2 linked regions of the Arabidopsis thaliana genome follow. The protein of the gene in region 1 purifies or fractionates together with the protein of each later gene. This does not show direct contact. Each region holds a gene or a part of one and is shown on either strand. Other genes may lie near its edges. The genes, in order: AT4G22285 and ABH1.

What was found.
Region 2: the proteins of AT4G22285 (region 1) and ABH1 fractionate together in Arabidopsis thaliana (co-fractionation; one large-scale study listed by BioGRID). This does not show direct contact.

What each region holds. Positions count from the first base shown.
Region 1 is NC_003075.7:11,777,152-11,784,617, reverse strand, and holds AT4G22285 (Ubiquitin C-terminal hydrolases superfamily protein), read left to right. Parts: upstream 1-1,922; 5' UTR 1,923-2,040; intron 2,041-2,460; 5' UTR 2,461-2,719; coding exon 2,720-3,079; intron 3,080-3,192; coding exon 3,193-3,437; intron 3,438-3,713; coding exon 3,714-3,798; intron 3,799-3,871; coding exon 3,872-4,057; intron 4,058-4,148; coding exon 4,149-4,316; intron 4,317-4,411; coding exon 4,412-4,549; intron 4,550-4,925; coding exon 4,926-5,097; intron 5,098-5,172; coding exon 5,173-5,347; intron 5,348-5,458; coding exon 5,459-5,555; 3' UTR 5,556-5,869; downstream 5,870-7,466. Other genes in the region: AT4G22290 (Ubiquitin-specific protease family C19-related protein), read left to right, coding at 210-365, 497-708, 1,227-1,419; AT4G22280 (F-box/RNI-like superfamily protein), read left to right, coding at 7,101-7,466.
Region 2 is NC_003071.7:5,634,909-5,643,511, reverse strand, and holds ABH1 (ARM repeat superfamily protein), read right to left. Parts: upstream 6,629-8,603; 5' UTR 6,460-6,628; coding exon 6,376-6,459; intron 6,292-6,375; coding exon 6,232-6,291; intron 6,133-6,231; coding exon 6,076-6,132; intron 5,591-6,075; coding exon 5,519-5,590; intron 5,411-5,518; coding exon 5,348-5,410; intron 5,175-5,347; coding exon 4,998-5,174; intron 4,814-4,997; coding exon 4,685-4,813; intron 4,462-4,684; coding exon 4,395-4,461; intron 4,216-4,394; coding exon 4,016-4,215; intron 3,801-4,015; coding exon 3,730-3,800; intron 3,268-3,729; coding exon 3,183-3,267; intron 3,037-3,182; coding exon 2,968-3,036; intron 2,877-2,967; coding exon 2,758-2,876; intron 2,451-2,757; coding exon 2,312-2,450; intron 2,111-2,311; coding exon 1,610-2,110; intron 1,520-1,609; coding exon 1,220-1,519; intron 1,136-1,219; coding exon 890-1,135; intron 807-889; coding exon 699-806; 3' UTR 446-698; downstream 1-445. Other genes in the region: AT2G13542 (defensin-like protein), read left to right, coding at 174-343. UniProt on the Arabidopsis thaliana protein: Component of the cap-binding complex (CBC), which binds cotranscriptionally to the 5'-cap of pre-mRNAs and is involved in various processes such as pre-mRNA splicing and RNA-mediated gene silencing (RNAi) by microRNAs (miRNAs).

The sequences.
Region 1 (7,466 bases):
TGAAATTAGACCATTTATAATTCGACAAATTGGAGTCACGGGTATTTTTGTATTGTCGATTGGATTACAGTCGTCAACAGCTAGCTTAATGCGTTGGACAGACCATTTATATTGTCTGAATTAACAATGTTGATGTAGATATGGTAGTGTGGTCACTGGTGTGTCTTTTATTTGCTGGAAATGTTAAAACTTTTGTTATGTTTTTGTAGGTTGTGACATGTGGAAGCATTCCTTTGGAATCTTCGTTCCAAAGAACACCAAGATGCGTTTATGTATCCACGGAGTTGTATGAATACAAAGGTTTTGGTGGGAAATCCGCAAACCCAAAACATCGATGCTTTTCTTGGGGATCTAGACATGCAGAGGTTAGTTTCTTTTTCTCCTCTTGCAAAAGGACCATTTGTCTCAGTGATTTGGTCAAAGTTTTCAGATCTTATATGACAAGAAAAGATGGTGAAGTTTGATGATTCTTGTTGTGGTTATATTTCTTTGGCAGAAATATGTGTCGGATTTTTACATCTCGGATTTCCAATCTGGATTGCGAGCACTAGTAAAAGCAGGATATGGATCAAAAGTTTCTCCTTTTGTCAAACCGGCGACAGTGGCTAATGTAACAACGCAGAACAAAGATTTATCTCCCAGCTTCTTAAAGTGGCTGTCAGATCGCAACCTCTCAGCTGATGACCGTGTTATGCGTCTCAAAGAAGGGTATGTTATATTCAACACGCATCTTAAACTGTTCTTCGGGTTGCACGAAGTATCTTAGCCAAAATCTAAAAATAACGTTATTAGAGTCACTATCCAAACCTTGGATCCTTATTTTACCCAAATTACAACCTTTTAAACCCTGATTTCTTTAGTAGAATGGGAAGTATTAAACTGTTGATGTAGGCGTTTACTTTGACTGGTACCGTTGGTTATTCTTCCACATTAAAAGTCACAGTAATGGAAAAAGATGTGATGAGACATGTATTGTAGGAAGAAATCCAGCAACTATTGTCAACGTTAACGGCTTAAACATCTCACATCAGTGCATGATAAGTCTGAAGTTAAAGGGCTTAGAAGTTTGAATTAAGTCTAAAGCTAATGAGACCCAAAAGTCACCGTTTCTAGTACAAATGATCGTTTTTAGTACACAAGAAAGCTCATTGGTTTCACTTTTGCTGTCAAAGAGAATCCCTTTGTTACTGATTTAAAATCATATTTGATTGTGTGTGATGCAACAGATACATAAAAGAAGGAAGCACAGTGAGCGTGATGGGGATGGTAAGAAGGCACGACAACGTTCTGATGATAGTTCCTCCGGCAGAAGCAGTCTCCAGTGGGTGCCGGTGGTGGCACTGCCTCTTCCCAACCTACGCAGATGGCTTAATCATAACCTGCGACGATAATCAAAACGCTGATGTCATTCCTGTCTGAAACCAATATGTATGTAATGCTTCTTTTGCCCGATATTCAAATATAAAAATGCTTAAACAGTTAGGCTCACGAGACTGAAGGAAGGAAGAGAAGAGAAGAGAAGAGAGGGAATGAGAGGACAGCCAAATTGGTTCAAAAAGAAAACCAAATAGGCTTTGCCTTTTACCTTATTAGCTTTTGTTTTTCTTTCTTAATTCTGTTTTTTTTTTTTGCCCCTTGTATGGGGTTTATGTTTGTGTACATAGAGCCCCAAAGTGTAAATGCTCTTTTCTGTTAAAATAATTATTATGTCCTATCCACTATTCTTATCCACCAAGGAAACCTTAGGCATCTCTGCAATAGGTGCATGCAATGTTGTGCTAGTAAACAAGTAAGCATGAAAGCCGCAGAGAAGCTGATGACAACAAAGCCCATGTAGAAGCCTTTGATTGGTTTCCATAGTGGAAACTTAAAACTTAAAGCCCAAATGTGGAAAATAAAAGACAGCCCAAAACTTACCCATTTAATTTACGGTCTCTCACTCTGCTTGTGAATAGCGAAAACACAAAACCCCAAACTCTCTCTACGAAGGCGGATGCACGCTTCTCTGTCTCCCTCCACTCTCGAGTCTCGTCCCCTCTGGTCAGTTTTATGCTCACCGTATGACCGATTAATATCGATTATTGGTTGATCTCATCCCCCTTATAGGCTCACATGTTTTGATAGTAATGAATTGAATTATCAATTATGGGTTTGGGATTGAATTCTTTGTTTTTTTAGTAAAGCACAACACTTTATGTTAGATTCTCTATCTGCTTTCATTGATGTTAGCTGATGGGTTTGTCCAAATTTCACTCTTTTTTTGTTATGTAATGAAATTGAGAATTATGGTTCTGAGCTAGGATCCATCCTTTCTTTGTAAAGGAGTGTACTTTATCTTAGATTCTGCATTGATTTCAGCTGGTTGGTTTGTCCAAGTTTCATTCTTTTTCTGATGGAAGTATCTTTTCAGTTTTACTCATGTTTACTTATCTCACAGTGGCTTTTTTGTTTTGTTTGCAGTGTGTGATTATCTTCTTTGGTGTTGTTGATGCTGGAGATCTCTTATTCAGATTGATCACGCCTGAAAGGTTTATTAGGATTTGGCAAAAGGATGGATAGAATCAACGGTCTATCAGATCTCTTCTGATTTGAATTCTAGGGCGTTTGTTTGGAAGAATCATTGCTTCTTTGGTTGAGGATCTTTGTGAAACGCTGGGATTTTGTGTTCTAGACTTCTAGGGTTTTTGAAGCAAGCTGTAGCATAAGGAAAATTTTGAGAATGAAAGGTGAAAGAGAAGTTAAGAATGGTGTTTCTGAGGAAGAGAGAGAAGTGAAGAGGAAGAGAGTGATGGAACGGTCTGATTCACCACCTCCACCACTAGGTTTCAACAATCCTCTTCTGCCGTTGGCTAATACTTACGATGATGATGATGAGGAAGAGGAGAACGAGCAGAAGAAATCGCAAGCTCGTGGTAATGGAGTTGCGAAAGGGGAGGGAAATGGTAACAAAGTGAAAGGAGAAGCTCAAGAAGAGGTCGATGACGACGAAGATGATGATGTCTCGAAGGGTAAGGGAAAGCATTCACGCCATGTTGAAGTTCGCCGTGATTGTCCTTATCTTGATACCGTTAATCGTCAGGTAATTAATTTCTTGATTGTAATCTTTGATCAATGGTTATGTTTCTGCTGTCTTCATTGTATAATCGTTTTTGGTGTTGAGTATCTAAACTCATGTTGTATGTTGAATTTCAGGTGTTGGATTTTGATTTTGAGAGGTTTTGCTCTGTGTCCTTGTCAAATCTGAATGTGTATGCGTGTCTTGTTTGTGGGAAGTACTTCCAAGGAAGAAGCCAGAAGTCTCATGCTTATACACATAGCTTGGAAGCAGGACACCACGTTTACATCAATCTTCTGACAGAGAAGGTTTATTGTCTTCCTGATAGTTACGAGATCAATGACCCTTCTTTGGATGACATTCGCCATGTTTTAAACCCAAGGTATATTAGATCTTGTGACTACTACTTCATAGTTCTTACTGCATTTTGTGTATTGATTTGTGAACATGTGAGCCTTTGCACGTAGTTAACAACAACAAAATTGCTTTGACTATTATCTCAATCAGTTTCTTCTTGCTAGTTCTCTGTATCATCTACCATCTATTTATATTTTTATTCTTGATAGCTTGAACATATTACTCTTCTTTCATGTCTTGTCAAATTTTCTTTGATTTTACAGTTCCTTTTTATGAAGGCTTCGGTGTTATCCATTTACAGGTTTAGTAGAGCACAAGTAAACGAGCTTGACAAGAATAGGCAGTGGTCTAGGGCTCTTGATGGCTCCGACTATCTTCCAGGAATGGTAATCCTTTCTCTTTGATTACACTTGATCTTGAAATTAATGTCTCCTAAAGGTTAAGCTTGTAAATATGTAGGTGGGGTTGAACAACATACAAAAGACAGAGTTTGTGAATGTTACAATCCAGTCGTTGATGAGAGTTACTCCTCTAAGGAATTTCTTCCTCATTCCTGAAAATTATCAGCACTGCAAGTCTCCTCTTGTTCACCGTTTTGGGGAACTAACTCGCAAGATTTGGCATGCTCGAAACTTTAAAGGACAAGTCTGACTCAATTTATGCCTCTCACTTTTAGTTTTTGTTATGCCCTCACCTGTTGAGGACCTCGCTAATTTAAGTCACCTTGCATCAACAGGTGAGTCCACATGAATTCTTGCAAGCTGTCATGAAAGCCAGCAAGAAACGGTTTAGGATTGGCCAACAATCAGATCCAGTAGAGTTTATGTCGTGGCTCCTCAACACTTTGCACATGGATCTTAGAACTTCAAAGGACGCCAGCAGTATCATCCACAAGTGCTTCCAGGTATGTGTCAGTCCTTTGACATGTCAACCTAAATGCAGTTTGATATAATTGCTTACAAAAAGCTGCATCTTCATGTAACCTTCTAACCATTATAGGGTGAGTTGGAGGTTGTGAAAGAGTTTCAAGGCAATGAAAACAAAGAAATCTCCAGGATGTCTTTTCTGATGCTCGGTCTAGATTTGCCACCGCCTCCTCTTTTCAAAGATGTCATGGAGAAAAACATTATTCCGCAGGTATATGGCTATTTCAAATCTTGAACGTCTTGCTACTCTGTGCCATTTGAAAAATGCATTTCAGTAAGGGGAACATTTTGATCAATAAGATAACGTGAAGTGCTAGAAAACTTATAATTCTCAATATAATAATGTCACATTTGGTTGAGATACAATAAAGGGATTCTTAAATAGTGCCATTGCAAATTTACTGTCCTGGAGTAAACTGTCTTTTTCGAATCTAGTTTATGACTTGGGAAAGTGTAGAATTCTCTGAGTCCTTGGTTGTTTGGAGCTCCTGTAGCCTTTATGGCTTGCTACCTCGTATATGCGTCTTAGAGTGTTTAGTTTGCAAAGTGAGGTTAGCAGAAACTAATTTCTTTGATGTTTGGGTCAGGTTGCTCTATTTGATTTATTGAAGAAGTTTGATGGAGAAACTGTGACAGAGGTGGTTCGGCCTAAGCTGGCCAGAATGAGATACCGTGTAATCAAATCTCCTCGTTACTTGATGTTCCATATGGTTCGGTTCAAGAAGAATAACTTCTTCAAAGAGAAGAACCCTACCTTGGGTGAGTCTATTTGGAATTTTTGTGACGTTCATGTTGTATAAGGATCCCTAATGCCAATTTTTTCCTATGCCACAGTTAACTTCCCAGTGAAGGACATGGAGCTGAGGGATTACATACCATCATTGCCTAGAGCACCAGAAGGCGAGAATGTGTGTTCAAAGTATAATCTAATCGCTAACATTGTACATGATGGTAAGCCTGAGGACGGATACTTCAGAGTCTTTGTGCAGCGCAAGTCACAAGAACTATGGTAAGCTTTCTCAATCATTAACTATTATTGTGTTTCATGTTCACAAATGCATGATCTAGATCTGTGCATAAGAAAGACATAAATTCATTTGGGGGATAATGTCCATTGCAGGTACGAGATGCAGGATCTTCATGTTGCAGAGACACTTCCCCAGATGGTAGAACTATCGGAAGCATACATGCAGATATATGAGCAGGAGGAGGAATAGAGCACTGGAAACAAACTGACTCCATCTGGTTTTAAGAGTAAAAGTGACCAGTTTAATCTTGGATTGAGGAGGAATGAGATTAGAACTCAAAAAGGGGATTCTTGAACCTCTTTTTTAAGGATAGAGAGAGAGCCTGTTGTTGCTAGTGATTCATCATAATGAAAAACCTTGGTAAAAAAACGCATATTGTATGAGTTTTGGGAAGAGCTTTTGGTAAAAAGTCTTCAAATTCTGCAACTTTTGAAATTTTGTAGTAAAATACACATTTGACTTTTGAGTTTCCATTTCCAAAAAATATCTTAAAAAGAAGTGTGTGTTTTTCTAATTTATTTGTATCTTAATACACAACCTCTCAGCCGATGACCGTGTCATGCGTCTCAAAGAAGGGTATGCTATATTCAACACGCATCTTAAACTGTTATTCGGGTTGCACCAAGTATCTTAGCCAAAATCTAAAAAGAACCTTCTATTAGAGTCACTATCCAAACCTTGGATCATTATTTTACCCAAATTAGATACTATCTTTAATAGTATATAGACTGGTTTATGTATACACTATCAATCTTTAAACCCTGAGTACTTCAGTAGAATGGGAAGTATTAGACTGTTGATGTAGGCGTTTATTTTGACTGGTATCATTGGATTTTCTTCCACAGTAATGGAAAAGGATGTGATGACTGATGAGACATGTATTGTGGGAAGAAATCCAGCAACTATTGTCAACGTTAACGGCTTAAATATCTCACATCAGTGCATGATAAGTCTGAAGTTAAAGGTGCAATGTTGTGCTAGTAAACAACAAAGCCCATGTAGAAGCCTTTGATTGGTTTCCATAGTGGAAACTTAAATCTTAAAGCCCAAAAGTGGAAAATAAAAGACAGCCCAAAACTTACCCATTTAATGTGAAAAGTGAAAACACAAAACCCCAAACTCTCTCTACGAAGGCGGATGCACGCTTCTCTGTCTCCCTCCACTCTCGAGTCTCGTCCCCTCTGGTCAGTTTTATGCTCACCGTATGACTGATATGGTTGGTGTTTGCATTGAATTATCAAGTATTGGTTGATCTCATCCCCCTTATAGGCTCACATGTTTTGATAGTAGTGAATTGAATTATCAATTATGGGTTTGGGAGAGAATTCTTTGGTTTTTTAGTAAAGCTCAACACATTATTTTAGATTCTGCATCTGCTTCCATTGATGTTAGCTGATGTGTTTGTCCAAATTTCACTCTTTTTTTTTTTACTGTAATGAATTGAGAATTATGGTTCTGAGCTAGGATCCATCCTTTCTTTGTAAAGGAGTGTACTTTATCTTAGATTCTGCATTGATTTCAGCTGGTTGGTTTGTCCAAGTTTCATTCTTTTTCTGATGGCAGTATCTTTTCAGTTTTACTCATGTTTACTTATCTCACAGTGGCTTTTTTGTTTTGTTTTGTTTTGTTTTGTTTTGTTTGCAGTGTGTGATTATCTTCTTTGGTGTTGTTGATGCTGGAGATCTCTTATTCAGATTGATCACGCCTGAAAGGTTTATTAGGATTTGGCAAAGGATGGATAGGATCAACGGTCTATCAGATGATATTATTTGCCACATTCTATCTCTCCTTTCGTTCAAAGAGGCCACCTCTACATCTGTCCTCTCAATGCGATGGCGTTATTTGTTTGCCTTCAGACCAAATCTCTGTTTAGATGATCAAGAAGTGGGTGGAGGAGACAGTTTCATCGATTTTGTGGACAGAGTATTGGTTGTGACAGGTAATTTCCCCATAAGGAGAATCTCAATAAAATGTCGTATGAGTATCGACACCGGTCATGTCACCCGCTGGATGGTTGACGTGCTGGAACATGGTGTCTCATATCTTGATATTGACATAATTTCCGAAGACGACATCGGTTTCGTGCCTCTTGAGATCTTC
Region 2 (8,603 bases), on another chromosome or scaffold:
CAATTTACAGAGATTATTAATTTATCGAATATTAATTTAGAGAGGTTAACTGTTTTTTTGATCATTTGAAGAGCAATGGTTAAACATTATCTTTTCAGAAATTAGAAAAATGTTTTCATGGAATGTCTTACATACACATATATATATATATAACTTGGGTTATAAAATTGCAGTGATCCAAATCCAACAATATGATCGTTGCATTGGGCCATGTTTGAGATTTTACGGAAATCATCAATGTTACAAAAACTGTAGAAAGGCGAAGTATGATGGAGGACAGTGTGATTTTGTTAAAAAAGGTGAAAAATTACCAGAATGTTGTTGCTATTATAACAAAAATTGATACTCATTGTAGTAACCGGCTACTTGAGTCTTGAGCATTATGTTTGTCTTCAACTTCTTAGTATAATAAATTTCTTACAATAAATTAATATTGTTACTCATAAGCAGACAATTTTATAGTACGGTTGCTCAATTGTGCTCAAATCGGAACATGCAGTTCCCTTTTTGGTAAATGAAATGCTTTCGATATTTGCGTAGGCCACTCTGAGAAACGAGCTCCAGAAACAAGACTGGTGTTAAAAGTTTAAACTCTTGTTTTTTGACTCTTTTCAATTTCCTAATAACTTGATGTCAGAATCAGAATCTCATAACAAAAAACAAAAGAGACAGGTTTGATTGAGATTGAAAGAGGAAGATTAATGTAATGGGAATTGAAGTGCAGAAGATATGGCTTGGAGAAAGAGAGGATGCACATCTTCACCCGAGAACACTTCTGACTCCAACTTCTCCATGTGAGGCCATATCTACAAGAACATGGTGAAACAAGTCAATATTCAATCTACTAAAGCTCTTACAACAACATCCCAACTATTAAGTTATTTTTTACCTCGCTCGCATATTGCCTTGTAAATGCCGTGAGATAGCCAAGTGTTGATAAGCACCACTGTTCTCTCTCACCGACTTCGCAACTCTTCTTTGGGTTTCCATTCTCGCTGTCCACGTCCATCGCAGATGGCTTGTCATCTTCAGCACCTATAGATTTTAGATCCTGCACTGATCTCACTTTAGTTGGATCTGGGAGCCGTTCCTTCAGTACACCTAAGAAACTTTGGAACAGCAAGAGCAGTAAAACCTATGCACAAGTCAACTCAATTAGCTTTTAGTAGATAAAAGGAAATAATAAGATCATGTGCTGCATTAAACTAATATATAATACCTCGGTCTCAGAGAGAGCTCTGTTAAGAAGAGCCTCTTTTGCCTCTAGGGACTCCCGAAGAGATAACTCCGCTTCCCCTGTCTTCTCCACTGTTGATTTTAAACGCTTCATCTTCGCTGGATTCTCACCAAGAACGGGTTCACCTTCCACTAGGGAAAGTTTGCTCTCAGCAGCCTCCAACTCTACTCGTGCATTGGCTGAAGCTTTCTCAGCAACCAAAACATTTTTCGTAATGTTTGATATATCTTTCCTCAAATCAGAGATACGGTTATAAGTCTTGTTAAGAGCATTGCCAAGTATCTGCAGAGACAGAAACAGATTTACGAAGATAAACAAACTTGCTCTGCAGAGTGTAGAAAATAAATATACTTCTGTTAAAACGCAACTGACCTCCCATGGCTGATCAGACACATGAAACTGATCAACATTTTCTGGAGAGAACACCCATCTAACAATTGCCTGATTAGATACTAGTCTATAACCCATCATCCTATCAATTGCCACCGCCGTCATTTGTACATTGTTTTTCCAGTATGTACTCACTTGAGATAATAGCATCACCTGCTTATCGTTATCAGGACAAAGCTTTGAAAATACTTGGCCATATCGCTCCAGGACAGTGACCAAATGAGTGAAACTTTTTGATCCGATGTCAAGTAAGGTCTGTACAACTATTGTAAGAGTAACTTCAAAACCATGAACTGGATATATCGTTTCTTCAATCCACACTATCATGTCACGTGCGGTTTGTTTTTCCTTGACCTTCCTGCTCAATTCGGCTGACAATTGCTGTTCTTCTGTTTTCTCTTTACCTTCTTCCAAGGAATACATAAAATTCGGACCAGCTTTTGGAGGAAGTAATTCTTCTAGGGCAGTCGCATTCTCAATGCTCTGTTAGACACACATAGAAAAAACAATATAGCCTGAGGAAGGATATCTGATGCTTAAGTTTGGAATGATATATCCATGTGGATAACAAGATGAAACATTGATCCCCCACAAAATGGAATAAGACAAATAACCCTAGGCTAAGAGAAAAGTATATCTGATGCTTAAGTTTGGCAGCTATTAGGATATCTGACGATCTGTTACCTGCTTAATTTTATCCCAGTAAGACAAGCGTACTTCTCTTTGCAAAATCTCCTGAACAAATACACGCTTAGGGGCCCACTTGGGAAGATCCAACACAAAAGCCCACTCTTCCCACGGCCAGATGAATTGGAAGTTGGATCTGTTAAGCATGGAGTTATCAACATGAGAGTAGAGAGCAAAACGAAATACGTAATCAACTTCATGTGATGAATAACATATTTCTCAATTAATCGAGAAAGTAAGACTCAAACACGACCACTGTATCATGTAAACGAATCGTCAGTAATGCTGACTGAAAATCCATATTTTATGTTTCAATAATCCATATTTTATAAGCTAGGTAACTTTCTAACATATATGGAACATTCACCAAACATTCGACAATAAAGCACCTTTTCCAGATTACAAAAAATCAAGAGGTAAGAAATATGAAATTATATACTTACAAGTGGTGAGAAAACCAGAGGATAAGACGCGTCCTGGATTCCATGTCTAAGTCGGATATTTTCTCAAATAGTGCACGAACAGCGCCAGCAACAACAGCAGGAAAGGCACCCGGAAGAGCCTAAATTAATTGAATATTTGGAATCAGGTTGAAAAAAGAAATAACAGCAGGGATTTAAAAACCATCGGATGAACAGTATAATCCTTTGTACCTTACAAAGATCCATAATCACGAGTGTATAATAAAGAGTCTTGAATGGTGGCTGGGGTAGCAGCAGTATCTGAAAAACAGTAGATACAATTGTTATATTTAAAAATCACAGATCTTGGAATTAATTGGTATAATCTGCCAGAAACGTATGCTTTTATATTACAACGTGAATACTCACTAGAGAGATAATCCCAAAATTTATACAACAGAAGTTACCTGAGAAAATAGTGTCTCTGCCATAAGATACTCGTACCGAAATGTAACAGGAAGATTAGCCATGTAGGATGCACACTCCTTCCGACTAGCTTTGCAATAAATTAATTAGTGAAACAAAATTCTATATAATTTAAGAAGGCAAACAAAATTTAGTAACCAGAAAGAAAGAGACTTAGCATAAGCTAAGATGTTGATTAGAAAACATGTATATGCTAGGCAAGTCTACAACCATAATAATGACTTAAATAAGTATATGCTAGGTTCAACTAGATACTCAACGCAAAAACACTAGCCCTTAGTAGTAGCCAATTAGTCGCCCAGCTGAATCAGTGACCATATTATTCAAAGAGTAAGTCATGAACTTAGATTAATACACCATACTCTAAGGTTAATAATTTAGAAAACACGTGACTAATTTGCTATGGTTGGGGGACAAAAACCAAGATCTACACCAAAACCAGCATGAATGGACGACCACTGTGCAAGAAAAATATAGAAGAAACATACAAAAACGTCAAAAGAACACAAGCTTTGGGAAAATACACACCATCCATTCAAATAGAAGAGCACATCCAGCAAATACTCCTCCACGACAAAACGATCAATTGGTTGTACATCCTGCGAGTTTGATAGTTACAGAATCAGAAGAAAGGGTAGACAAAGAAAAGGAATACAAAAGGACACCATATAACCCATATATCAATCTACAAATATAATAGGTTAGAAAAAAGAAAAATGTTGACGACTGAAAAGGTAGCAAGTATAATAAGCTTCCATTAGCATGAAATATGTCCTATTCAGATAAACAATGACATCAAAAACCAGAATATTACCTCCATTTTATTAGCTGGAAATATATTCAACCTACGAATTCTCTGGGGATATCTCGTCAATGCATCATGCTTTTGCTTGCCACTGTATGCCCTCGAATGATCAGAAGGTGGACTCGGTTGTTCCATACATTTAATGGGACGTAGCTCATGAAACTTTCCAGCAACGAGTTGAGCTTCAAACGAGAGATGAGGCCTAGGTACTAGCACATTGAATATGCATGAAATTGTCAATTGTAATATACAACTAATATCTCTAGTCATATGAACTGATCAATTTGTAAGTCAAACAAGGTAGATAAGGATATTAAAAGAGAGGGTTCGTAGAAGATTGCAATCTTGTAATACAAAGAGATATGAGAAGTTGACAAAATAAGCATACCGCTTTCAAGTTTCCATCCATTGGAAGCCAGAGACTGAATTCGATCCAATAGATCCTCCACGAAATCCTAACGAGACACAAATGAGAAAGACGAATGACGCAGACCAAAAGTTATCACACCATGATACAAAATTCAACAGATATCTATCTCAAACAAAAGCAGAAATGAAACGTCACATCCATGCATCTTATTTATACATTTGCCAAGACATCTACCGAAACAAAATCAGAGGGGCAGCTAACACAAAGCAAATACAACAACTTCAAGAATTAAACACTAAAAGGCAAACCTTCTCTGCAAGGCTGCTTTCAAATTCTCCGTTGTGAAAAAAGTTTAACCCAGAGGTGGAAGAATTCTTTCGGATGCTCAAATAAGCTTGTATCCCAACTAACACTCTTTCAATCTCATCAGGAACTTGCTGCAAACCAAAGGGAAATTCAGCGGCCATACAAGTTAAGATAATAGATATGAAAGCAGACTAACAAAGTTGGTTGCAGATCCAACAAGGATGACATCATTATAAAATTGGAAACGCATATCCAGTATTCTAATAGCCTTCAATGTAAATAATTTCTAGAATGTATTTAGTCCAAGAGCAGTACCTCAGCGAGTTCTGATCCTCCCCACGGGAGGCTGGACAAGATGCATATAACGTAAAAGTCAGCTTGTGGCTGCCATGATGGATTTCCTTTCTCTTCATCCACAGTAGTGGCAGCAGATGATAGCAATGTTTCGAAGACGACAATCAAAGAAGCAGGTTGAATAACCTTACTGCACAACTAAAGAACCCAACTAAAACATGTTAGAAAATAGACAAAACATCTCAAAATTTTCACAAATACTGTTCTATATACTTCGCACTTTTATTTTTTAGACGCTTTCTGTGTATTAGAAACATGAACTAACATATTAAATAGACGAAGCAACCATGAAACATGATTAGCAACCATACCAGGGAAGTCATAAAGCGAAGCAATATACGGATACTGTTGCAGTTGCCAGAATCTAAAGCGACCTGGCATGTTTGACCAAGAAAAACAGTCACATTAGAAACAAAAGTAACTGAGAAAACTTATGTTATCAATTTATCCTTGGCCTTTGATGTACAGATTAGATTATTCACCTGGAAATTAGCGTGGACACTTTCTACTAGCTTCTGGACAAAATCTTCATTCTCCAAGTTCAACAAACCAATCTTAAACATGTGGAAAGACATCCATCAAACTTCGAAGTATGTGTATCAGATTAAATCGAACTAATTTATAACAGGGAACAGGGTATCTCAGTTCAAAAATAGATCCAAATGCTACTTACACAGATAAGAATTATACACAGAAAATATTCAAGCATTCTTTATTACTCAGAAGTTAGCAAATATTGATGAATACTATGAATAAATAGATTCCTACAACATGTTATATATGATATAATAGACACAAAATGATCCACCTTAAGGGCATTTCCACTATTATTTGTGTTTCTGAAGTGTTCATTTGTTTCAAGTTAAATGCCTTCCGTTATTGCTTCGAGCTAATTATTCTTCGATAAGAATCAGTTCACAGATACCATAACATACTCAATCAAAACCTCCACATATATAACACATCTAAATGCAAGCCCAACATCCAACACATACCCAGAAATGAAAAAGCCAAGGTAACTAGTTTATAAGAGACTTACCAAAGTCCCATACAAAGGAATCTTATGAGGCAATTGTTCAGCACATTGTAGTAGAAACTGTTAAGACGAAAACAAAAATAATGAGAACACACAATAATAATATCCACAGAGATACATCACAACAGATCCTAAAATTGAAGGCTCGAAGTCACTTACAGGCAAAACTTGATCTCCAGAACGCTCGATTTCTCTACGAATGACACCGAAACAAGTCTCCTGTATATAGAGAATCGGAAAAGTTTTGAGTAGTGAGAAAATTAGGGTTTAAGAGCGAGGATGAATCGAGAGAGAGATACTGACGATGTGGTCTTTGTAGTCGGAGGAAGTGCCGTACTCAGGTCCCTTTTCGCCGATGCGAAGGAGAAGAGTTTTCCAATTGCTCATCTTCTTCCGAGAGGTTTTTCTTCAGTTCGTCTCTTTGTTGTTTCTCCTTTGGTATCAGTCACTCTGCCCTAGTTTTTTTTTTTATGTCCGTGTCTCGTCAAAACTAATTTTTTTTTTTTTTTCTCATAAGTGTTGTCATCTAAGAAAAGGAGTTCACAAAAAGAGTTTGACAAAAAGTTTTTCTCTCTCTTCTTTCTCTTAGTAGCTGAAACTAGCCGTTAAAACAATAGTCGTCCCAGTTAATTTGGAGCCTAAAGACTTTTCTCTCAGGTGTTCTATTCTGAACGGAGCTTCTACCAGAAATATTTACGTGTTCGGTCCGGTCTAAATTGTTGTTTTCTTCCTCGGATTTTTGGTAGTTCTGACTCTTTCTCTGTTACGAGAGTTTGCTTTGTGATTCTCAGTTCTGTGTTGGTTATCATCTGAATTACTCGGATTTCTTCACTGTTTTTTCTCTTGGAGTTTGTTTCCTGCAAATCAGGTTTGACGAGTTCGGGAAAGTTGTTTACTCTCTATCAGGATCTCATCATGGAGCTGGATAAAGCCATTCAGAATATGTCGATTTAAGACAATAAGCCTCTGATTCTTTCTGATCAACCGCGCTTTTGTTCAATTAACAGAAACAACTGTCGTTAGTTGGGTAGGTTTTTGAATCTAGAGAATCAAAGGATGTCTAATTGGATATTAGATATGCCACGAATTTGGAGAATTTCTTCTCGGGTTAGAGGTGTTGCTCTCTCAAAGGATCGATTCCAATTTTTCTTCAAATCTGAGGAAGATTTAGAAGAAATTATGAAAATTGGAGTTTGGACAGAAGATAAATTGGGGTGTAGTCATGGATAGATGGATTGAGAATCCTCCAATTGATTATCTGAATTTTCTTCCAATCTGGGGTCGAGTGAGGAATATTTCGGTGAACTATTATACTCAGGACACAATTAAAGAGATCACGAGCTGTATTGGGGAAGTGAAGGAGGTGGTGATGGACTCTGAAAAATCACAGTTTCAGGACTATGTTCGTGTTCGGGTTTTGTTTCATGTCGCCAATCCACTTCGTAACAATAAAGAGGTACAACTTCCATCTGGTGAAGTTGTCACAATTTCTTTTGACTATGAACAGATTAGAAAGAGATGTTTCTTGTGTCAAAGATTAACTCATGATAAAAATAGATGCCCATCCAAAGTCTTAGATTCCATCAAACATGATGTGAGATCATTACAAGAGAAAGGCAAACAGAAGAAGATGTTTTTACCGAGGCTGGCTGAGTTTCCCTTTCAGTCAATTGCTCCCAAAGGAAGGGTAGATGCTTTGCCAGCAAATCCTCTATCAGCTACTGTTGCAATTGATAGTCATCCAGAGAATACTTTGTTAGCTGAGATGCTAGATTTGGACATTAGTACTGGATTTACCACATGTGTTGGTGAGGCTAGTTCCTCCACTTCAGGGTTTAAACATCATATAATGCAGGATTTCACTCCTTTTCAGTTCAGGAAAGAAAAACTAGTTAATGAGCTGTCTCTGAAGAATAAGGTTATTCAGTCTCCTGCCTCTCCTCATTTTGAAAAGGTGTTCAAAAGGAAAAGAAAACCCTCAGACATTACAGAAGCTCAAAGTTTCAAGAGAGACAAGAATACGGTGGTTCCAAGTGAACCACCGTTGGATCAGTAAGGCGTCCTTAGTTGGAATTGTCAAGGCTTGAGGAATCCTTGGACAATTCGACACCTTAAGGAGATGAAAAAAAATCATATCTCGGACATTTTATTCTTCATGGAGACTATGAATCCTGACGAGTTTGTTTCAAAAGTTATTGATTGGCTTGGTTATAACTATATGTATACAATAGAACCTCAAGGGAGAAGTGGTGGCTTAGCAATCTTTTGGAAAAGCCATTTGGACATTGAGATTCTTTTTGATGATAAACATCTTTTGGATCTTCAGTGTTCTTCTAGAAATAAAGTATGCTTTGTTTCTTGTGTTTATGGGCATCTGGTGACATATCTTAGGCCTTAGGTTTGGGATAAGTTGTGTAGTCTTGGATCACATCGGAAGCAAGCTTGGTGTATGATAGGTGACTTCAATGATATTAAGTCGAAAACGGGAAAGAGAGGGGTCCGAGAAGAGTACCTTCTTCGTTTCAATCTTT